3 linked regions of the Caenorhabditis elegans genome follow. The protein of the gene in region 3 interacts with the protein of the main gene of each other region in a pairwise test. Each region holds a gene or a part of one and is shown on either strand. Other genes may lie near its edges. The genes, in order: cls-2, tol-1 and act-5.

Region 1 (9,115 bases), 4.6 Mb from region 3:
TTCCCGTTGTTTCGTTGCGCGTGTCTTCATCGATCATGCCTTCATTCTCAATGATACGAGTCTTGATCTCTTCGTTAACTCGATCTTCCTCCTCGTCGTCAATCTCTTGTATTCGACCAGCCATATTGAAGTCGTTCTTTGGTGAAACCAGAATTCGCGGCTGCCAGATAACCATTTCATTTCCTTTCAACTTTTCTGGTCTGAAATAAAACATTTTAATTACAGAGAAATTAATTTTTGTAAAAGAACTTACTTTGGTAAGAAATCAATAGGACCCTGGCGGCACTTTTCAAAGTATCGTTGAATAGATTCATCCAATCGAATCTTTTTGGCTACTGCCGGCTCATCATCTGGCTCAACCACCAATGGAATAGAAGTTGATTCAGTGCATTGGTCAAAGTTTGAATCGTCGTAAACTTCATCCATTTCTTCGTCGGACGATGATTCCCTGCAACTTATAATCGAACATTATTTGTCAAAAACAAGGCTGAAACGTACATATTGATTGGCGACGGTTTGTCATTTGAAATTGAGAAGTTTTCCAGGCAGGCGCTTATTTTATCGAACCTTCTCTTCGTTCTCGGAACATATTCCATGTCCTAAAATTGAAAAATTTAGAATGAAAAACTTGCAGAGAATATCATTTGTTTGCACGACAGAATTTAATTTTATCTCAAGTACAGAATGTGTTAAATTCAGAACAATTGACCAATGTTCTGACTTGTTAGAGGTGGAAAGAAAATAGGTAATCTGCTTAGAAGCGCGAGGGAACGAGCGACAAGGCACACGGCGGGTTGGCTGATGCGAGACACACCCGGGCGCCAGTGAACACGCAAGCGCGAGAGGGTGCAGAGATTCAGTGAACCGCACAGGCGACGTTACATTAGACGACAATTTTTCATGGAAACAATTGTGAGGAAACTAATGAATGACTGATGATCTGGTAAGAACGGAAAACGAAGAACGGAAAACGAAAGGAACGACTAATTTAACGAGAAATGAGGGAAAATGTGATGGAGGGAAGCGCAAATATTTGATAACGATAGACGGAGAAAGAACTGTTGAAGAATTTGCAACTGAATGAACTAATAACGTGTAGAAAACAGTTGCTTAGCAAAATAATATCGAAAATAAGTTAAATGCTGAAAATTGTACCCTAAATTCTAATCTTCTCGGTATAATTAAGAATATTAAAAATATTTAACTCGAGTTTCTCTCTTAAATAAACAAATATGAGACATTTGAAGCTCATAGAGACTACTGTGACTGAGATCGTGGCGAGACCCACTCAAAACATAACAGCGCGTGCCTTGGAACTTAAATATCGCAATTACGGTATATGATTTCTTTCGAAGAAATAAAATGAAACAATATTTAATGGAAGTAAAAATCTTGCAAAAGACCTCCGAAAAATAAGGCGACAACCCTACTCTCTCAAGAACAGGCACTCGTTTATGCCTTTTGGAAACACCAGCTGTCTCGACCACACTCAACCATGCAAACTAAATCGGGTAGCAGTTCATGAATCAACACGTGATGGCTTCATCCCACCTAGTTTATGATGTCGAAAGATTTTTTCGAATGAATCTAAGCTTTGCACGTGCTTTAATTGTTCATAACATCTCAGACTAGTTTTTTATTCAAAGTTCTTAAATCTAGTTAAAAATTGTATGATAAAATCGAAATTTAACGATGAGTCACTTACCAACTCAAATTCAACGGGAAACGGGCGTTTTCCATTTGGTTCTCGTACATAATAATGATTTTCTTCTGGTGGCTGATGTGAGTTGAAGTTGTAGGGCTGGTGAAGATTCGAATTTTGATTCGAGAACGATTCGCTGAAGTTGGTGAGTTGTGTCATTTCTGCAAAAAAAAATAAAGCATATGACTTTACACATGGAAAAGGAGAAACAGAAGAGAAAGACGCAATGCAATTTCAACTAAAAAAATTGAAAATTGAAACGGAGATAAACACACAACAACGCGGAAACAATGAAGGACAGGTTTAACGTGTCAAAAATGTCGATATGATTGCAAATTTTGGTGAGAAACCTCGATTACGGGGGCGGGAAACTCTTTTGTATGAGAATTGAGGTCTTCGGGAAGTGAGCGGATTGTTCTAGAAGGTTCGCGCAACAAACCAATCGACCACGTGGAGGAGACACATCGCTACGGTTAGAGACGCAGACAGCTAAACGCTCGGCAAGCGCTATTCAACCGAGACAGCCGAGAAGTTTCTGTCGGAATGGGAAAATATAGGCGACTTTTTCCGAAAACGATCAGTTTTTGGTAGTGAAAGTGAAGAATATGATAGTACAGCTGAAATGAATTGATTGTTTTCTGCCTGTAGAAAAACCAACCATGATTATGAAATAATCGTACAATAGAAGCCATTCAAGAATCTCGTAATTTAAAATTCGCAGTTATAATTTTCTCAGCACTCTGGCGCATTCACAAAAATTTATATCAAACAGACAGAGTTGCACTTTACAGACAGAAGCAATACACATGTGTATTTTAGAAAAACATTTATTTTAGTAAATATATTTCCTGTAACGTTTCTGATATATATTTTACAGAAGAAACGAGCGAAATCGGTGAAAAAAATCGGTTTTTTTTTAATCCTTTAATGTTTGAATCTGGCGCCGGACGCGTTTTCGTCTCGAGACCCGAGGCTGTGCCTTTAACACTTTGATGTCTCGTCTCTCTACTCTCTCGTCAGCACTATTTTTAGCCTAAAAATTTTTAAATATCATTTCTAGAATTTTCATTTGGATATGCAAAATTTTTTCATTGAAAATTGAAACGTTCTTCGCGCTTTTTTCTTATATTCTCCTTTCTCAGCTTTGGAATTCATTATTTTCTTCGAATACGATTTCCTTGAGTCTTTGGTGTGAATCATTTTTCAAGATTGAATGTCTGTTTGAATTTATCGAAATGATCCAAGTAAAATGTGCCCTCCTCACCGTTTTCGAAATTAATGCAATTGCGCTCTAGTAATGACAAATCCTTGCCGGGCTATTTCACAATTTGCGCTCGATACTGAATGTTTGTTCTGTGTTTGTAAACTGTTGGATTTTCTCATTCTCTCCATTTTTGCTTTCTTTCACAATATCTATATTTTCCAGATGAGCCGTGTCATCAGCCGATCGACTCCGGGTGGGACATGTATCGTCAGCAAGGACGACTTTTTGAAGTCGTTCGAGGAAGTGCCCAAAATGGTAAGTTTTGTTCTCGCGTATGGTCTGGTCTTACTTATTTGTTTTTCAGGAAATCTCGTCGCCCTCAGACTTCAAGGAAAAGTTGGACCAGACAATTGAAACTCTGTCGAAAGGCCAGGAAGACTGGAACAAACGAATGAATAAGTTGAAACAGATTCGCTCAATGGTGGTTCACGGAGAAGACGTTATTGGAAGGGAGCAGCTTTTGAGCCAGCTTGTCCGGCTTACCGACTGCCTGGACCTCTCAGTGAAAGATCTCCGATCGCAAATCCTGCGAGAAGCTGCGATCACCTGTGGATTCCTATTCAAACGGTTCGGGACGGATGTTCGTCAAATTGCCGAGAGATGTCTTCCATCAGCGTTTGCCCAAGTCGCTGTAAGCACAAAGGTGATGGCAACGTGTGGAGCGGTGTTAACTCTGTTTATTGTTGAATTTATTCAAACAAAACAGATTTTCACTTGCATTGCCTCCTACTCCACATCGAAGGATAAAAATCAACGGAGACAGCTGTGCGCATTGCTGGAAATCGTCCTCGAACATTGGAACGAAAAGATCAAGAGGACAGTTCTACCACAAATTGGCGAGTTGATCAAGGCAGCAATTTGCGATGCTGATCCAGAGACCAGAGTTGCCGGACGAAAAGCATTCAGCAAGCTCGATGCACTACACTCCACTGAGGCAGACAAACTATTTGCTTCAGTCGACTCATCGAAACAAAAGATGTTGCGTGCCTCTGATGCTGCATCATCAAGCACGAGCATCAATAGTGAACGCGGAACTGCACCATTTCGGTCGAAATTGTCTGCGGGCAGTATTGGTGGAATCAGAAATGCACCGAACATTTCTTCAAGTGAGTTTAAAGTTCAACATATCAATCCAATTATTTCGTTTACAGAGTTTCTTGCTCAAAGAAGTGCTTCTGCCATCGATACAAAGCAGGTGACGCGAATGGCAACATCTGTGTCCAGAACTCCAAACATTCGCCCGATGACCACTAGGACACTTTCAAAAATCGACACCTCTCCAGGAGGTTCGAAGTTTGCTAGACCAACAGTTGGAGCGCTTGGTTCTCGTACCTCTTCCAATCTTCGTGCTCGTGGAAGTGTCCCAACGTCTCAGCCTGGTTCTCGAAATGGATCACCGCCACGCCGTCCATCCGCCACAGAGGCATTTCCAGCCGAAATGCAACGAGTCAAGTCGAATCTTGGTTCTAACTCGTTCGTTTCTTCTCTGTCAGCCGAGGAAGCTACGAAACTGCAGAAGGCAATGAACACGGCAAAGGAGAGCTTGAGGCAACCATCACGCAACGATGATGATGAGTTCCTCTTGCCAAAACGTCCAACCCCACAGAAGGCAACACCACAAAAAAGTGCACTTGATACTTCCAGAGTGGAAGAAGTGATTCGTGCTTGTTCGTCGACCTCTGCAAATGAGAAGCGAGAAGGAATTAAAATGCTTGCAGGCATTGTTTCGGAGCCAAATCTCAGCAACGCCGAAATCAAAAGCCTGGGCGCGGTTCTTAACAGATTGCTCGGAGAATCCACGAACCAGGTAGAACATTTTAATTTAATAATTTTTATTGCAACATTTTATTTCAGATTGTGCTGGAATCAATCAGTTCGTTTGTCAAAACCCATCATCCCCGTCTCAGTGATTGGCTCAAGCTTGGCCTTGGAAAGCTGTTTGCAAAGAAAGGAGCAGAGATGACGTTGAACAGTAAGAAGCAAATTTCCACAACCATCAGCTGTATTCTGTCATCGTTTGATCCAACCCTGCAATTGAAATCAACATGCGAGCTGGTGTGCGATCCAATTCATCTAATGTCCCCGAAGAGTCGCGTGGTCCTTCTTGAATATCTCAATGAACTTCTTGGGAAGTATATGGAGCGAGGATCGTCGTTCAACACTAAAGAGATGAAGGCCACCATTCTCAAGATGTTTTCGTGGATGGCAGATCAGAGGAATGAACAGTTGATCACCCCGGTAATTATAGCTCTCTCTTTATTTTAGCAATATGCATTTTTCAGCATGGCGAGAAAGTACTCTGCTCACTCTTCGCATTGAACAACGCCGACTTCTCTGCACTTTTCAACGACTTCAACCCCGACTATCGCGATTGGGCATACAAAGTTCTTCAGTCTCACGGACATGATCAACACGTTCCACAACAAGATGCTGTTTCTGAAGAGGCCTGTGTGCGAGCCACGATTTCTACTACAGCTGCGCAGATAGAAGATTTCGTCGTGTCGAGGAATCTTGATATGACTCCAGTAAAATCGCCTAGCACAAGAGCCATTTCGTCGGGTTTCAAACGAGTCGATGCGGAACCACTTCGTCCTCTGTCTTCGGAAATGAATTCACAGCACAGAGACGAGGAACTCAGCTTCAATGAGTCATTCGACCGATTAAAGGTATTTAACAGCATTATATTTAAAAGAAAATGGTTTTAAATGACAAGTGGTCAGAGGATTTCGAACCCCCCCCCCCCCCCCCCTCTTTCTTCGTTTCAGTGGCCACGTAAGGCGCGTAGTTCAGCAAAGTATATTTTTCGTAGACGTTAAAAATCATTTCTACATTTTGGCTCAATAATGACCGTCAGTTTCATCCTCCTATTCTTTCTTCAAATTATTTTTCAGCTCAACTCAACAACGCATCTTATTGACGATACGTCGGAGCAGAGCAAGTACGTGGCGTCGAAGCTGGCCCAGATCTCTGGTGACATGGGAGCTCAGCAATACGAAGGACTTTTGTCGATCCAGACAATGTTGTGTGAAGGCTCATTCACTCTTTGGGAGCAAAACTTCGCCAAGCTGTTGATCGCTGTCTTCGATGTGCTCTCCAAAAGCGAATCAGACGCCAACAAGAAAGTAGCTCTGCGCGTTTTGACAAAGATGTGCACTTCGCAAGCATCGCGCTTGTTCGACTCTACGGAAATGGCCATCTGTAAAGTTTTGGATGCTGCTGTCAACTCACAAGACGGAACGATGAACGTGACCGCTGATGACTGCTTGAAAACGCTGGCAACCCACCTTCCACTGGCTAAGGTGGTTAACATCTCGCAGCTCATTTTGAATGAGGTAAGTTCAAGAATTTTTACATTTAGGTAATCTGTTTGTCAGTATTTGCAGGAGAAAGCTCAAGAACCCAAAGCAAGCTTGGTTCTGAAAATGATGACCAGATTGTTTGAAGGTCTCCAAGCCGACGAATTGAGCCCAGTGGTTGATGATTTGGCGCCATGTGTGATCAAGGTAACTATTTATCAAACATCGCAATTCATTAATGAAATTTTTACTTTGCAGTCTTACGATTCCCCATCGTCTGCAGTTCGGAAAACTGCTGTCTACTGTCTGGTCGCGATGGTGAACAAGTTGGGAATGAAGACAATGGAGCCACATCTTCAAAATCTGTCGTCTGGAAAGCTGAACCTTGTCCAAGTCTACGTCAATCGGGCAATGTCGTCCAGTTCACATTCGCACGTATGATTCGTCGTTGCAATGTAGCCCATAATTCCCCCGTATTCGTATCCCAAATTTCCCCCGTAAAACCTTATCGTCCCTTTTCTCTCATCCCTTCACTTTGTAATATAATTTTATTTGTCAAGAGCGGGTATTGCACACTTTCTCTATGCTCCTTTTAGCATAATTTCCCCCGACTTATGTCCCTTATGATTTTCGACCCCCGTATTTCTTATTTTTATTTTTATATATTTTCTTTTCTTATTTATTTTTTATATGAATATTTCTTAAATTTATTTCTTGTGTATAAGTTGAAAACCGTTTTTTCGTTCAGGCCAATATATATCTGGAACAATAGGTAAAAAACTTTCGGTATTCAATTAGCCATCACGTTTTGTTGACAGTAATCTCGTTTCAGTGTTTTTTCTGATCTGCTACCGGCGCCAAGACTAAACTATTGTTAATTTTCTAGAAACTTCTCTGGCATTTCAACGTCATCCAGAACAATTGTAATCATCTTAACAACTTTTTGTCATCATTTTCGTGCTGGCCACGTTGTCTTTCTCTTTCATTCCAGTGCTCTCTCTTGCTTGTTTCGTCTAGCACCCCTAGTACCTCCACGAACTATAAAAGCCGTTCTATTTGTCCACTTCTCACATTCGATTTCTTTTCTTAATTCTCTCTTGAAAACAAAAAAAACCAGTTTCCACATTTCAAGTGTTTGTTTTCAGTCAGTATTCACTCAACTTCGTTCAATATGACCCTCAAGCTCACGTACTTCGACATCCACGGACTCGCTGAGCCAATCCGTCTTCTTCTCGCGGACAAGCAAGTTGCCTACGAGGATCATCGTGTAACCTATGAACAATGGGCTGATATTAAACCAAAGATGGTGAGTTATTGTTTTCAAAGTTTTATTTATTTTTATTAAATGATTATTTTTCAGATCTTCGGCCAGGTTCCATGTCTTCTATCCGGAGACGAGGAGATTGTTCAATCTGGAGCTATCATCCGTCATCTCGCTCGTCTTAATGGTAACCATTTAAATGTTTTCTTCCGGTATCTTATAAAACAATTTTCAGGGCTCAATGGCTCCAACGAGACAGAGACAACTTTCATCGACATGTTCTACGAAGGACTTCGTGATTTGCACACCAAGTACACCACTATGATCTACAGAAACTACGAAGACGGCAAGGCTCCGTACATCAAGGACGTTCTTCCAGGAGAGCTCGCTCGTCTGGAGAAGCTTTTCCATACCTACAAGAACGGAGAGCACTACGTTATTGGAGACAAGGAAAGCTATGCGGATTATGTGCTGTTCGAGGAGCTCGACATTCATTTGATTCTCACACCAAATGCTCTTGATGGTGTTCCAGCACTCAAGAAGTTCCACGAGAGATTCGCTGAGCGTCCAAACATCAAGGCATATCTCAACAAGAGAGCTGCTATCAACCCACCAGTAAATGGAAATGGAAAACAATAAGCTAATTCAATTTTTTCTCATTTTGCAATCATCAAAAATTCCAGTTTGATATAATTTATTGTCTTCCTTAAAGCTTCCAATGAATCTCTGCTTCCCATACATCGTTTCAGTCGTTCGTGGAGCCAATACTCGGAAAATTATTCACTAATTTTTATTAATGTAACATTCAACAAAACATTTCAACCCGTAAGCCCATATACAATCAAGAAATGCAACAAAAAAAAGAACATCAAGTCTTATGCAAAATTTAGATGGAAACCCGTATAGCTCTAGAAAATAAGGAATTTAAATAATAAATGACGATTGTTCAGAAGATTCAAAAATAATGAGCTGGTTCGGAGTATCGCGTCATTGGTTCATTCTGCATTTGGGTGTACGATGTTGAAGCTCTTGTATACCACATTTCGCCATTTCCAAATGCTCCACATTGTGGTTGGAACTGAAAGTAACGTTATTTTAATTTATGTACGTTATATTTGAACTTTGTATATTACACATACGCGTAAAACGGTCTTGGCACGACAAATTTCTATTGAATGCGAAAAGGTGTGCGCCTTTAAAGATTACTGTAATTTCAAACATTTGTTGCTGCGGAATTTCCTTGTTACATTTATGTGATTTTATTGTTGTCCAGACTTTTAAACCATAACACTTATTTAGATTGGAAAGACTTAAAAATCCGCAAAAACACAAGATTCGAACTACAGTATTCTTAAAAGGCGCACGTTCTATTTAACAAAACTTTGTCGTGTCGAGACCGGGTACCGTATTTTTAATTGCAAAATTACATTGTTTCCCGTCTGTTCAGTTGAAGCTTAAAACTAACCGCTTCTGAGCTTCCAGCTTCAGTTTGATATTCTGGGCTCAAATAGTTCAAACTCGTCGGTGTAGTATGAGTGGTATTCATAAAATGCTGTGGTGACGGTGTTGACGTTGATCCATCCGATGGTGGA
Region 2 (7,998 bases), on a different chromosome or scaffold from region 3:
TGACACCACACTTCCGATAATCGCTTCGTCGTCTTGTCATCATCGTCGTTTTCTTCGTCTTGTTGTCGTCCGGTCCCCACACACACATCAAAACGGCTACTTCCGACGTGTCGGTGGTTTGTGTGTGTGTCAAACGGCACCACCACAAGTGGTTGCCCTCGCCCGTGTGCTAATTCGCATTTTGTCTTGTTAATCACGCAATAGTGATAACAATCGCTTCCGGACCATTGCTAATATAATATATTGGCTACCGCGGGCATGTCTTGGCAATAACCTTGATGTCAAGTTTTATCGTTAAAATGTGAAGCTGTATGATTGCGAAAAATTTGAAGTTTTCCCATTCAAATTGTAGGCATATTTGAAAAATTTCTGAAGATTTATATCTGTCGTAAGTGGAACGGTTTATTTGGTTTCTTGGGTCTCGTCGCGAAAAGCTTTCACTATGGTTTGAAGCACGACTGGGCGACAATCGAAGTCGAAGTTCGGCAATTCGATAATTCGGCAATTATCGAGTTCAAGATTTTCGAAAGAAAAACTCAAAAAATAATTTTGAAATCTATTTATTAGTTCTGGACACGCGGAGTCAGAAAGTCCCATTTCGCTTTGATCTACGAAAAATGCGGGAGTTGAGACGCAGACATCTCAACTGATTTCGCATGGTTAAGAGTGTGCTGACGTCACAATTGTTCTGGAAAAAAATTCCCGCATTTTTTGTAGATCAAACCGTAATGGGATAGCCTGGACGTAGAACTCGCCAAATCGTAGATATATGCATAATGAAAACTCTAGAGTTAACTCTGCCACCCTCATAAAGTGAGTTAGAAACATTTCTGCTCTGAGGAACTATAGAACCCCCTTTCAAGTCGATCGTCAGCAAATTCTAGAAAGATCTGACAGTGGCCGATTTTTTAATGTTTCTAGGCCACGTAAAAAAGCTGATGTCTTGTTACTTTTCAATTCGAAAATCCCTTTTTTTAATTTTTCGGCAGCACCCGGTCCGAGCCAACATCTTCCTAAACACTTCAAAACCCCGCCCCCTTCTGCCCTCCCGGGTGTCTCCGTGTTGTTCAGGGTGTTGTCCACCCCCTAGACACCCAACTGACCATTCACCCGTCTCCTCCTCCCCCTCTACAACAACCACCACCACCTGATCCATTCCATTATAATGATATTCCGCATACTTGTCATACAGAGAATACCCGGTTTGCTGCTGCCAAACGGTTTTCATTTATTCCATTTCTCACTCCTTGATTGTTGTCAATTCTTCGATTCGATGCGGCAAAACTAGCGCCAGTGGGGAAATTGCTTTAATAGTAAACAATTTTTTTTTAAATTTCCTATATTTTTTGTATAAGATTTTCTTTTTTAATTGCAAATCCCATGGGAAAGTCTCAAATTGCATAAAATTCCAATTTGAATTCCCTCCAAGATTTCAATGTTCGATGGAGCGCACTTGAATTATTATAATTTTTATCAATGAATTTTTTTATCATCTCTGACTGATTTTTCACGATTTTTTGTGTAGTTTTAGAGGAAATTTACTGAAAAATCCAAGTTAAATGTAAATTTCCGATTTTTATACAATTTTTGGACTACTTTCCCCGCCGCCACCGCTAAAAATCCCAATTTCCTGCAAGTTTTCACCTGCTCTGACTCATTTCCGCGAGCGCGCGCGCTCGTACTTTTTATCTTTTACTATTTATTTATCTCCTCCAAAAAAAAATCCCGTTAATTTTTTTTCCCTTACAATTTCTCATAATTTACTCATTTAGTTTGGCTTAAAAAATGCTAAATTAAATTTTTTTTTCATTTCCAGATCACATGACACAACGAAAATGAGGAGAAAAATGAAGTTATTCCTATTTTTATTATTAGTAATTAATATATGTCGGTCGGCCGCTGCTAACGGTGACGAATGCCCGAAATTGTGAGTTTTTCGCTTAAAAATCAGATTTTTTTCGAATTTACTGTGAAAAAGCGGGGGTTTTGCCTGAATTTTCACTTAAAACTGCTTTTTTTTGCTAAAATCCCGAATTTTTCAGAGAAAAATAATTCAAACTCCATTTTTCAGCTGTAAATGTGCTCCGGATCCGGTGCAGCCGACGTCTAAACTCCTATTATGCGACTATTCTTCGAAAAACACGACAATTACACCTATTGCGTCGTCGAATTATGATCAGGTTGCTAATATTCGGTGAGGTTTTTTGATTTTTGAATGAAAAATTTGAGAAATTTTTAAAAATGGGAAAAAATGTGATTTTTAAATCAAGATATCGGAAAATACGAAAAAATTTCCAAGAAAATGGTGGTTTTTATCGAAAAAATGTTAAAAATGCATAGAAAATTTGGATTTTCGAGTTCGAAATTTTCTGAAAACAAAAAAAAAAGTTTTTTTTTACACTAAAACATTAAAATTGGATTTTTTTTTCCGAAAAACATAATTTTTCAATTTCTAACAGTAAAAAGCTCACAAAATTCCTTGAAAATTGACAAATTTAGTATTTTTTACACGAAAAATGCATTAAAATTGAATTTTTAAAACAATTTAAACTTAAAATAAAATTTTCATTTATTCTACACGGTAAATGTATTAAAATAATTAAAACTTCGAAATTTTAAATTAGAAAAAATCAAATTTCCTCCTTATTCTCAATTTTTTTTTACAGCAAAATTTCAGTTGAATTTTCCCATAATTTTGAATTAAAAATGTGTTTTATTCCAAAAAAAAACTATTTTACAACAAAAAACTAGATTTTTTCCCAATTTTCTATGAAAAATTTAATTTACCAATAACTTATTTTCTTTTTCCAGATCACTATTCATATCTTGTGATAATAATAATTTCCAATTTCCGGATGCCTACTTCAAGTCGTTAACCGCGTTGCATCATCTGCGGATAGTGGTGAGTTTATTATATTATCAGCTGTTCTCTACAGAACATCTGCTTTTTGCGTGTAAATTTAGAGGTCAATTTTCGGAAAAATTGGAAAAATTGGCCTAAATCTCAATTTGAAGTAGATTTTCACGTGTTCAAAAATGTTCAAAAAATTCAATCAAAAATTCGATTTTTGGAATACTTCAAAAAAATTTAATTTTCTTCGAGAAAACCGGTAAATTACAAAAAAAATTCGTTGGCGATTTTTTTCTGTAGTTTTCCAGAAAAACAAACGAAAATTTTAATTTTTAATTTTTAAATTTTCCAAAAAAAATTTTTAAAAATTCATAAATATGTCCATTTTAATTTTAAAAATATCGGAAAATATTCAAAAAATGAACTTTTCTATCGAAAATTTAACAAGAAAAAATTACGAAAAGTTCATTCAAAAAATTAAAATTCTTCTATATCTGAGGAAGGCTAACAGTAATTTTTTCCCATTTTTTGACTCTTTGAGCAAATAACCGTATCACTAATTACCTTAACCATCAAAAAAGAAAGGTGTGCCTGTCTTCTATTCATCCTCCTCTCGACACCAAATTCTTAAGAAGAGCCCCCCACTCGGATGTCTCTAATTAGGCACAAATGTTACGTCATTTTGTCATTTGTACGGCCACAGATGACCTCCGGTGTGCTTGGAGGACTGCGAGAGAGGAGGATTAAGGGGATTTTTATGTCCTACAATTGATTTTTTTAGGTCAAAAGTAGGGATTTTAAGGCCAAAAATAGAGATTTTTTAGGTCAAAAGTAGGGATTTTAAAGCAAAAAAAAAAAATTTTCGGCCAAAACAGTGGTTTTTAAGGCCAAAAAATTTAATTTTTCCGTTTATGACACCTAAAATTGGGGTGAAATTTTTTTTTCGGATAGAAATCTAAAATTGCAATTGTTAATTATTCCAACATTTTTTTTTGCATTAAACGTTATTGTAAAAACATTGAAAATCACTTGATTTATCCGAAAATTTCATTTATTTCAGATAAATATTGTTTAATAAAAAATGTGTTAAAAAACATGGTGCATAGATATATAGATAATTTTGTAGAATAATTGAAAATTGCAATTTTTAACTTCCTACCCGAGTAAACAGAATTTAAATCCAATTTTAGGTGTCATAAACGGAAAAATCCCAATTTTTGGCCTTAAAAAATCCCAATTTTTCGGCCTAAAACTCCCTAATTTTGGCCTAAATCACCCTATTTTTAGCCTAAAAAAGTCCCCTGTTTTTCCATTTTCCCCAGGAACTCGTAGAAGAACATGTGTTAGGCGTGAAGAGGTTAAGCCGATTAGCCATGTAATATTCAATACTTGAGTATAGAAGGGCCAGAAGCAGCAGCAGCAGGGGGTGCTCCAAGAGCACCACCTCAACAGATGTATAAAGTGGTTTTCGAGTAGATTTGTGGTTTTGCACACGGTGGAAGAAATCTGAAATTTGAATTTTTTAAAGCCATTTTTGTGCTGAAAAATGTACAGAATAACCGAAATTTCACCACCCTTTAAGGTACGGGAAATCTCCGGGAAAAAGGCTCAAAAATTGCATAAAAATGGAGATTTTAAAGCTAAAAATAGCTATTTTAACAAGTTTTTTTGCAGGGATGCGAGACCACACATTTCTCTGTGAAATTGTTCGAAGATTTGGCCGCTTTGAGAAGATTGGAACTCGATCAGGTACATTTTTCTTGGAAAATCTAGAAAATTTTGCTGAAATTGGCTCAGAAATGTCCTAAATAGTAGAATTTTTCATTAAAAAGCCTCTCAAAACGGCTTAAAATTAAGTAAAAATCGACATTTTTTCACAGATCTCCACCGCCTCAACCTCTTTCGAAATGACCGAAGACGTCCTAATGCCGTTGGCTCGTCTCGAAAAGTTTTCCCTCACGAGATCACGGAATATCGAGCTTCCACAGCGACTTTTGTGCTCTCTGCCGCATTTACAGGTATATTTTTGGGTAATTGATAATTCGCCAAAAAGAACAGCAGCCGAAAACTCAAATTTTTCACGAAATTTGCCGAAAAACTAGATTTGTAAAATAAAAAGAATGCAAGAATTTTTAGCTTAAAAATCTCAATTTTGAACGATTTTTAAAGCAATTTCAGTATGAAAAATCCAGATATTTTTTGGGTAAAAATTTGGTGAAAACGCGTTAAAATCTGCATTTTTGAACGAAATTCGCCAAAAATCAAGACTTTTGTAGTGCATTTTACTGTAAAAATGTATACCTATTTTCTATTTTTATGCGTACTGCGCAATATATTTGACGCGCAAAATACCTCGCAGCGAAAACTACTCTTCAAATGACTACTGTAGCGCTTGTGTCGATTTACGGGATCGATTGATAGAATATCAAAATTAGAAATAAATGGGAAACTACTGCGAAAACAAAAATTTATTTCAAAAATTGAGTCCGTAAATCGACACTACAGTAGCCATCTAAAGAATTACTGTAGTTTTCGCTACGAGATATTTTGCGCGTCAAATGTGTTGCGCAGTATGCATTCCCATCTTGTTCTCTACATTCAATTACCACCACATCTCACAGAGAAGGAATTAGTTGTTTATTAGTACGTGGGGGGGGGGGGGCTTTAAAGCTTACTACTTCTTCTTTCTTTCCACTTTCTGACGTTCAACCATCTGGTATTCCTGGCGGCGGGGCAATTGAAAATGAGAACAAAAGGACATCGATGGAGGGAGGAGGATTGAGAGTTTGGAAATTGTGAAGAATGCGCGCGGAAGGAGGAGGTCAAATATCACAAGCGCCGGAAGTTGTTGTCAGCCAGAAGCAATAAAGGCCTAATTATGATGATGATGAAGAACCTCCCTGAAAGAGAATAGCGAAAATGTGAAGTTTCCATCTCAAGGGAGCGATTTTTTAGTGATCATGGAGTCTTGAAGTGTGCACATAGTCTACGTGCCCCACAAGAGCCTATGCCTGCCTTATGCCTACTCACATGCTCACAGCCAAACTCTTTCGAAATCAGAATTCTACATTGTAGAATCTACAACACTGAAGTTTCTGCCATAACGTTGAAAATAGGCACCTACGCCTGAATACGTGCCTGATCAACATGGATGCCATATAGTCCAGGCTGTATAGTCGTAAAACAGGGATTTTTTAGGCTCATGGGTTTTTGTCGGAAAAAATCGAACATTGAGAAAACCAGAAATTTTTCAAATTTTCGTATACTATTCCACGAATCGTTTCTCCCGTTTATCGAATCTCCACGTCGCACTGTAATTTTTCAAGTATCGTTAGTCCATTCGCCCGAGAAACTCCACAGTTACAAATGCTTTGCAAGCATTTTCAAGAAACCATGGTTCCTGGCATGTTTTGGCGCATTCAATAATGCCGCTAATAATAATAATAATGCCTCCTATTATGATGTCGCGTTGTCATCGTTTGCTGCTGCTCCGTCAGATACTTTATGGGGTTGTTGTTTTCTCCCTCCGCATCAAACGACGTTCCTCTCTTCAAAATGATGATGGATATACATATATCTATGTTTATAGAAGAATTGAACCCCACACTTTACATATGAATAGATGGGGACCTTGTTACCTTGACTATCGGGAAGAGATTGAAGGTTCCAAAGACGGCTGGCTGTGGCTCATTAGGCTAAATGATGCGTGATATTATTCGCTCTACGGCACCTCTATGATCCAGGAATAGCAGTCACTGTCAACAAGAGTCACCTCACGGCAACAATACTCCGCTAATTACGGTTTGCGGCAAATCCCAGAATTTATTTGAAATTCTAACTGGGTGTTGCAGATGGGTCGAGGAAATATGATAGCAATAATTATTGTTACGTGGCAATTGTAATCCGTCAGATATCGTTTCGAGACCTGCTGACTCAAGAATGTGAAAATGGACAAATTTGGAAAATAGGTAGCGGAAAATTTTCGCAAGTTTTGAAAATTTCGGTCATGATACGATACGAACTCCTTGATTTTCACAGCCCGACAAGCCGTACGCGTACGCAATTTGTCTACCGTATACCTGAACGTTCAGGCTCGTCTATCTCGAAAACAGTTGGTCCAGCCTTTTTGTGGGGCATATAAAAAAGGTCAGAACATAAATTCTAAAATTTTTTGGACCATAGCTTGTTTCGTTATCACGCGCCCAAACCTGATCTACACTCAAATTATCAGTAGAGCGCATTTGCATGGATGTACCACTTGCCGGGCCGTGATTTTGAATGGAATATTAAATTCCACGTCACTCTAGTGAATCTCCGCTTCTCAATATGCTTCATAATTCATCAAATTCAATTCATTTTCGGATAAGCCAGTTGTAAACAGTTGTGTGTGTGTGAGTGAGCTCATCCTTCATAAAATGAATAGAGATAGAACACTGACACTCTCTCAAAGACAAGAGGAATTAATAAATATGAGAGCTCATTAGCTGCTCTTCTCGTGACTACTAATTAGGAGGGTGGTACATGAAACAGTGTATGTGTAAAGGGATCCCCGCCGCCGCCGCCGCCAATGTCTTTCGGTGTATGGCAATATCCGAGTGGTGTTCTCATTTTGAAGAGAGTATTAGGATGTAACGTATCAACTGGAGAGAGATAGTTCAAAGATTGGGGATTTGAGATATTTTAGGTGTCGAAATGGATGAAATATAAGCATAGGGAGGAAATAAATAGAAAACGATATACTTAAATAGCAATAGTTATTTGAGTTCTTACTGTAGTTTTCGCTAAGAGATATCGCGCGTCAAATAAAATGCTCTACGTACGCATTCTCATGATTTATTGTTCCCGTAATATAAACATAGCAAACATTTTTAATGTTTAAATATTCCTCAATGCTATTGAAATTCAAATTAGTACAAAGAAAGCAATTTTTCGATTTTTTTAACGAGAAAACTAAGTTTTCATCAAAAAATATGTAGATTTTGATGAAAATAATATGACAATTTATTTAAACCTATATATTTTTTTGTCCAAAACAACTTTACGAAAAAAATTTTTTTTTAAATAAAATTATTGGATTTTTCGTCAACTTTACGATAAATTCCGAAAAATTAACAATAAATATAGGAGAAAAAAATCCGAAATTAACG
Region 3 (7,139 bases):
AATTTCTGACTGCCACGTAGCGTTTTCAGTACAGTAACCCCAGCTGTGAGCGTTGTGGTGAGAGATGAGGGGGTCCGGGTTTTGTGTCAAAATAGAGATGAATAGGTCCATTATGGTTCCACAATGTATAAAATTCTGAAAAAAGTCATAAATTTTGTCCGAGTTATAGGGGTATGAGCCAGGGCTGTGCGGGCGGCAAACGGCAAACAGCGAATGCCGTTCGCCGATAATAATGATTTTTTTTGACCCCGACCACTTTTTAGTTTTCTAGATTCAATGCGTTAATTTCTGACCGTTAAAAATTCCGGATTACTGTAGTTCAAAAACGCCAGCGTAACAAGACCAAACCCTGGATGCAAATCTCCACATTCCCATTTAGGAATAGTTTTTAGAAACGCTGGGAGCTCCGTAGAACTGTATGTCCAATTGTACAATGGTGAGATGGTTAGGGTCTCTGGAAATTGCATTATTTTGAATGAGAAAACATTATTATTGTTTTTAAGATACAAAAATTTTTGCAACAAAAACTCCCATTTTGTATACCTAAATCAATTTCATTCTGTCGTTGCTTCCACATGACAATTCCATGCATTTGTCCACACGTCCATATATTGGATATTTTCAGATTTCGCGATTCTAAATTAGATTTTGTTCTCTGCAAAAAAAAAATTTGTCCAGTTTTTTAGGCGGTTACAAACTTCCAACAAATCCAAAACAGTTTGAATTATAATCTTCGGATTTTGAAGTCCAGCTGCATCAGAATTGTCACCTTCGTAGATTTTTTTGAATTCTAGGATTACGCTAAAAATATAAAGTGTTTTATCTATTTACAAAATCAGCGTACTAAAATTTACACACTCAGTTTTTGATGGCACTATGGTTTGATGGTTTTTGAAAAATTGAAATATTCCAAAGAACGTATTCAAAATAATTACCTATTTATTTGACTTGAAACTTTTTTTGATGACTTTTCAGATTTTGCCAGTGTTGTACAATTATTCTATTCAGAAAAAATTTACATTTCACATTTTGGTAATAGGTTTTTTGAGATAGTTTTGATCCAATCAAAGGAATAAAACAATTAATCACTTTTGTATTTTAATTTTGTTTTTCAAAACTTGCCAACTGATAATGTGCAGGCAATTTTATTTTTATTAATTTTGTGATTATATTGAATTTTCTCACTTTTCCCCATTCCTTGCACAAATTTTAGCCGAAGTTGTGCCAATATCAATGCCAACATGAACTTGCTCCGTCATCAATGATGATAAGAGTTTCCAATTTTAAGAGGAATCGGGGGTGAGGTTTCCTGGAATGAGAAGAAGCTTGAAAATGATAAGAACGGGCATAAATAGAGAGTGAGAGGGTGCAAGAGAAACAGAAAAATAGAAGAGTGGGGGAGACTGTTTTGGAGCGTTTTGGAGGTGTGCAGAGGCGGGAGTTTATGGATTTGCATAATTGAGGAAAGAAATTGGAAAAACATTATAAATCTATTGCAAACATAAAGCAAGTATGATTATAAGATTTAAAGATGGAGTACCGAAATCTGAGACTTTGCTTTTTTTAGATCCGAAGTGACCCAAAACTACCAAATTTCGTAATGAGAAGTTTTGAAAATTTCACAAAAACAATTCGTTGATGCAAGTACATTTTCGGTCAGTGGGGCACAAAAATGTAACTTTTCTTTGAAAACTAAAAACGTTTAAGAAATGAAAAGTGTTACCAGTTGACAACTTTTGTTATTTTTAACTAGTGTAGAGTTACTGTAGTTTGAATAGTGCTACCTGGAACAAAACATTGAACTCCGATACCTCGTCCGACAAGTGATACATATTAGAATATTGCCAAAACAGTTTTTAGATTATCTTTTTTTTGTTCAACTGACAGTTATTTCTTGGTAATGAAGATTTTTCAGTAATTTAGATTATCATGTAATGATGTTATAATGTAGTTAGAAGATTTATAGTAAATGCACAAACATATAGTTTAACCACCTATAAGCCTCTACAGCCGAAAAGTTAAAATATACTATCCAACACATGAATCTACATAAATTTTGTTATTTAGTTTACAACTTTTTTCTTTTCCTTTTTGTTGCCATGTTACATACATTCCCAGGAAGCTGCCGGCTGCTATTTTCACGTTTTTCAGATTGTCGATATCTCAATTATTCCATTTCTAATTGCTTTTTTCAAAATAATAATTAAACTATTAATTTCTTCCACACTTCGACCGATTTCTCATCTTTCCTCTTTGTTATCAGTGATAAGCAGAATAGGGTAGTAGTAACTTTTACGGGTATTTTGGGATTATACGGAAAGGGTAATGTAATGAAACTTTGAATCTTCGGCACTTTCAAGATTAGCTGCACCCTAACATTAAAAAAATATAGTTTATGATCCTAAATTTCTATTGTATTTCTAACTAGCATTGACTCATTACTTATCAGTGACTCATTTTCCCAGTATGGCTTCTTTAAGAGGAATGGTAGGCGGAAACTTCAATTTTAGGGAGTATTTAAAAGTTGGAGTCAATTGGAATGTTATCACTTTATTTTTTCTAGTTTTACATTCCTAGCGCTCCAGTGACTGGCGGTAGTTGATTTTTATCTCTTGGGGGTTTTTTATCTTAGGAGGTCATGTAAAGTTGTCAACTGACAATGTATAACATTTTTTTGAAATGCTTTGTTAGTGGACCAGCCGGCTTGAGCTACTGGAAAGTTCGGGGAGCCCGGATGTAAGCCTGTTGGCCTGCATTTTCAAAAATTTCGTAGGTTTATTCCATATTTGTTATACTGATTTGAGCAATTTTATAAAATCGGCCATAGCTAACAGCCTCCCAGTGCATATCATGTCAATTGACAATTTCATGTTCTAGAATTGAGCACAAATTCTGACAGGCTGCTTACATCATGCTCACCAAACTATGACTTTGTCTGTGTGACGTGATAATTTGTGTGTGTGTGTGTGTGTGAGTGTGTACATATAACCACCACGTACCTGCAATTCTTAGAACGAAGTGAGAGAGGGAGTTATCAGTATCAAACGCACACACATATATACATACAGAATGTGGCATATTCTCTCCATTCTCTCTTTTTCTCGTTTTCCCCCCGATGGTGAGCTGGCTGCGGTACTGATAACACACTTTGCATTTTTGGGGAAATGTGGCAACATTTTCATTTTTCGGCATTTTATAGTACTCGTACATCACTTAATAACGTTTTCTATAAACTCGACTTCTTCAACCTTTTATTAATTTCAGATGGAAGAAGAAATCGCCGCCCTCGTTGTCGACAATGGATCCGGAATGTGCAAGGCCGGATTCGCCGGAGACGATGCTCCACGCGCCGTCTTCCCGTCCATCGTCGGACGCCCACGTCATCAGGGAGTGATGGTCGGTATGGGACAGAAGGACTCGTATGTCGGAGATGAAGCACAATCCAAGAGAGGAATCCTCACCTTGAAGTACCCAATCGAGCACGGAATCGTCACCAACTGGGATGATATGGAGAAAATCTGGCATCACACATTCTACAACGAGCTTCGTATCGCCCCAGAGGAACACCCAGTTCTCCTTACCGAGGCTCCATTGAACCCAAAGAGCAACAGAGAAAAGATGACACAGATCATGTTTGAGACCTTCAACACTCCAGCCATGTACGTCAACATTCAGGCTGTGCTTTCCTTGTACGCTTCCGGAAGAACCACCGGAATCGTTTTGGACACCGGAGATGGTGTCACTCACACCGTTCCAATCTATGAAGTAGGTAGATGGGTTTAGAGAATATAAGAAGACAGCAATCTTCTTTGACTTGGCGGTGTAAAGTTTTGGAGATTACGTCTGCTTCGACTAATTTTTGCAGCCAGAAACAGGCTCACAGCGCTTTCGGAAACTTTTAGTTCAGCTCAGCAGCTCTTATCCTTAGTTTTAAGTTTTTGGAACTGTAAGAACTTAGTAAGAGCAAGGCCACCTCATTTCTCTGCAAATCATAGCCTGAGCTTCTGATCTTCTTATCTGATCCACAATCTTCTTGTGAGAATTCTTTGGGATCTAAGAAATCTAGAACCTACATCCGATCTTATCTTCTAATCTTCCAGGGATATGCCCTCCCACATGCCATCCAACGTCTCGATCTTGCCGGACGCGACTTGACCGACTACATGATGAAGATCCTCACCGAGCGCGGTTACACTTTTACCACCACCGCCGAACGCGAAATCGTCCGGGACATCAAAGAGAAGCTTTGCTACGTCGCCCACGACTTCGAGTCCGAGCTCGCCGCCGCCGCCTCCTCCTCCTCCCTCGAGAAGAGCTACGAGCTTCCCGACGGACAGGTTATCACCATCGGAAACGAGAGATTCCGCTGCCCAGAAGTCCTCTTCCAGCCTGCCTTCATCGGAATGGAAGGTGCCGGAATCCACGAGACCACCTACCAATCCATCATGAAGTGCGATGTCGACATCAGAAAGGATCTCTACGCCAACACTGTTCTCTCCGGAGGTACCTCCATGTTCCCAGGAATCGCTGATCGTATGCAAAAGGAGATTCAACATTTGGCTCCAAGGTAAGCTTCACATTTCTCAGTACATGAGATTATAATTCTTGTATTTTCAGCACAATGAAGATCAAGATTATTGCTCCACCAGAGCGCAAGTACTCCGTCTGGATCGGAGGATCTATTCTTGCTTCCCTCTCAACCTTCCAGCAAATGTGGATCTCCAAGCAGGAGTACGACGAGTCCGGCCCATCGATTGTTCACCGAAAGTGCTTCTAAGCTGATTTTTTTTCAAATTTTTTTTTTCAACATGTGCCTTCCATTTCTAGGCGAAACACGATTTTACTTGACACAAATTCCATGAGATACTTCATTTTCTTTATATTTATGGTTTCTTAACATGAATAAACTTGTTAGGACCACTTGCTACTTGGGAATTGAGTAAAATTGATGGTACTTGTGTATTATTTCCCCTCATTTTTTAAAATATAATTTTAAATAAAAACGTGTGGAGTTTTTGTTTTTTAGGCTTAGGAAATAATCATTTCTAAGCCTAAAGATGGAAAATGGACATCACGTTTTATTAAAATGGATAATATTAAAATGAGGGGAAATAATGCACAAGTACCAAATTGATTTTACTTAGAAATTAAGAAAAAAAAACAAACAAATAAGTTAACCTAAACCGGATCTGCCGTTCGGCAACTCCGGTACCATCCGGTTCCCGTTTTTTTCGGTGATACAGAGCTTTCTTGATACTTTTTTGACAACTTCCATAATTTTTATCTTGTTGCAATAACTGGGAAAAAGAAATTTTAAAAAGTGAACTGAAAAATGACTCTTGAGAAAAAATGATCGTACGGTCTTATAGTTTTACTGTAAAACATTTTTGATAGTTTGCAACATCCATTTTGATTTCTTATGGAAAATCGGTTCTTTTTGCTATAGAGAGCATGCAATTCTTCAAATAAAGTTGTCTCTAACTACAAGAAACCACCTTTCTGAAAAATGAGTCAAAAATGAGTAGATACATGCAATATCGGCGGGAATTATAAATATCCATAAATTGTGCCCAATTCTAAATTCTATTGCACTAAATATCCAGATGCAAATTTTTCCGAAATTACAAAAATTTTCGAGTAGCAGCCAGCAACAAGCTTTCGATAGGTACATAGTGATTTCTCGCAGGAAAAAGGATGAATTAATTTTAAAATGTTGAGCGCGTTCACACTACATATTTTTCAAATTGCACGCAATGTTACCTGCTTTTCTCCGGAGAAAAAAAAATAGTGAACATTTAAATAATCGGAAAAAAGTACGAAAAAAATTAGGAGCCGATTATTAAACTGAAAACTCTTCTTATAGAATTCGATTAAATTTTTTGTCAATTTTTTTCTTACACGTAAATACATTTCTTCCGACTTTTTTTTTTCAAAATTCACAATTCTAGTCAGACGGTTACGGTTCATTTGTTGTAAGTTTGTATAAAAAAACATTCCAAAAAGTTTAAACGTGCCGGCCTACAGATTTCCTCAATAGTTAAAATATTTTTTTCGCGTGGGTGGTCAAACTCAATTTATTACGAGCTTGGCTCTACTCGACGAACAACTCTCGATTGCAAATTCTAATAACCGTAAGTTTCTACACAGATTTTCCAGACATGAAATAAAGTTTTAGGTAAAAATGACTCACTTGAACTTTGAAACTCGCATGCCTCTTGGAACAGCCGTCATTGATCAATTCTTGGGACTTCGTCCTCATCCGACAAAGATCCAGGCGACCTACGTGTGGATCGATGGAACTGGGGAAAATCTCCGTTCGAAAACGCGAACCTTTGATAAACTTCCGAAGAGAATTGAGGACTATCCCATCTGGAATTATGATGGAAGCTCGACGGGGCAGGCAAAGGGACGTGACTCGGATCGTTATTTGCGTCCAGTCGCTGCCTATCCGGATCCGTTTTTGGGCGGTGGGAATAAGCTGGTGATGTGTGACACGCTGGACCATCAAATGCAGCCAACAGGTTAGGAAATAAAATAAACAGGCATTTAGATGCCTGCCTGCCTATGCGCCTTCTAGTTGCTTTGCTGACTTAATGCAATAAAAACTTCATGGAACACGTAGGCATTTGCGCCTATATGAAGTTTTTTTTAAAGAATTTTCAAAATTCATATTCGTTTAACAGTTTAATAGTTCTATTACTGTTAAATCTGTCGCGGCGAGACCTACTCCAAAAATGGTGCAAAAATGGTGCTCCTTTAAGAAGTATTTTCAGCAACCAGTCATCGTCAAGCATGCGCCGAAATCATGAACGAAATCCGTGATACCCGCCCATGGTTTGGTATGGAGCAGGAATATCTGATCGTCGACAGAGATGAGCACTCACTAGGATGGCCAAAACACGGATTCCCGGCTCCACAAGGAAAGTACTACTGTAGCGTCGGAGCGGATCGTGCGTTCGGGAGAGAAGTCGTTGAGACACATTATCGTGCTTGCCTTCACGCCGGGCTCAATATTTTCGGAACAAATGCTGAAGTGACGCCTGGACAATGGGAATTCCAAATCGGAACCTGCGAAGGAATCGATATGGGAGATCAATTGTGGATGTCGAGATATATTTTGCACAGGTATTTTCATCACG

The links.
Region 1: the proteins of act-5 (region 3) and cls-2 interact in a two-hybrid assay, tested with the Caenorhabditis elegans proteins (one large-scale study listed by BioGRID).
Region 2: the proteins of act-5 (region 3) and tol-1 interact in a two-hybrid assay, tested with the Caenorhabditis elegans proteins (one large-scale study listed by BioGRID).

The regions. Positions count from the first base shown.
Region 1 is NC_003281.10:9,051,924-9,061,038, forward strand, and holds cls-2 (TOG domain-containing protein), read left to right. Parts: upstream 1-3,124; 5' UTR 3,125-3,128; coding exon 3,129-3,221; intron 3,222-3,270; coding exon 3,271-4,072; intron 4,073-4,117; coding exon 4,118-4,773; intron 4,774-4,820; coding exon 4,821-5,204; intron 5,205-5,248; coding exon 5,249-5,632; intron 5,633-5,857; coding exon 5,858-6,298; intron 6,299-6,340; coding exon 6,341-6,469; intron 6,470-6,520; coding exon 6,521-6,703; 3' UTR 6,704-6,972; downstream 6,973-9,115. Other genes in the region: R107.5 (uncharacterized protein), read right to left, coding at 1-200, 254-454, 499-599, 1,706-1,861; gst-1 (Glutathione S-transferase P), read left to right, coding at 7,434-7,568, 7,623-7,710, 7,759-8,162; lin-12 (lin-12/Notch intracellular domain), read right to left, coding at 8,479-8,601, 8,989-9,115. UniProt on the Caenorhabditis elegans protein: Probable microtubule plus-end tracking protein that promotes the stabilization of dynamic microtubules. Required for the formation of mitotic and meiotic spindles. Specifically promotes the polymerization of kinetochore-bound microtubules.
Region 2 is NC_003279.8:442,183-450,180, forward strand, and holds the start of tol-1 (TIR domain-containing protein), read left to right. Parts: upstream 1-1,820; 5' UTR 1,821-1,835; coding exon 1,836-1,927; intron 1,928-2,071; coding exon 2,072-2,194; intron 2,195-2,811; coding exon 2,812-2,902; intron 2,903-4,525; coding exon 4,526-4,600; intron 4,601-4,731; coding exon 4,732-4,869; intron 4,870-7,998.
Region 3 is NC_003281.10:13,602,192-13,609,330, reverse strand, and holds act-5 (Actin), read left to right. Parts: upstream 1-3,264; coding exon 3,265-3,765; intron 3,766-4,100; coding exon 4,101-4,567; intron 4,568-4,617; coding exon 4,618-4,777; 3' UTR 4,778-4,919; downstream 4,920-7,139. Other genes in the region: shpk-1 (Carbohydrate kinase FGGY N-terminal domain-containing protein), read right to left, coding at 1-135, 294-454, 544-655, 699-801, 1,186-1,259.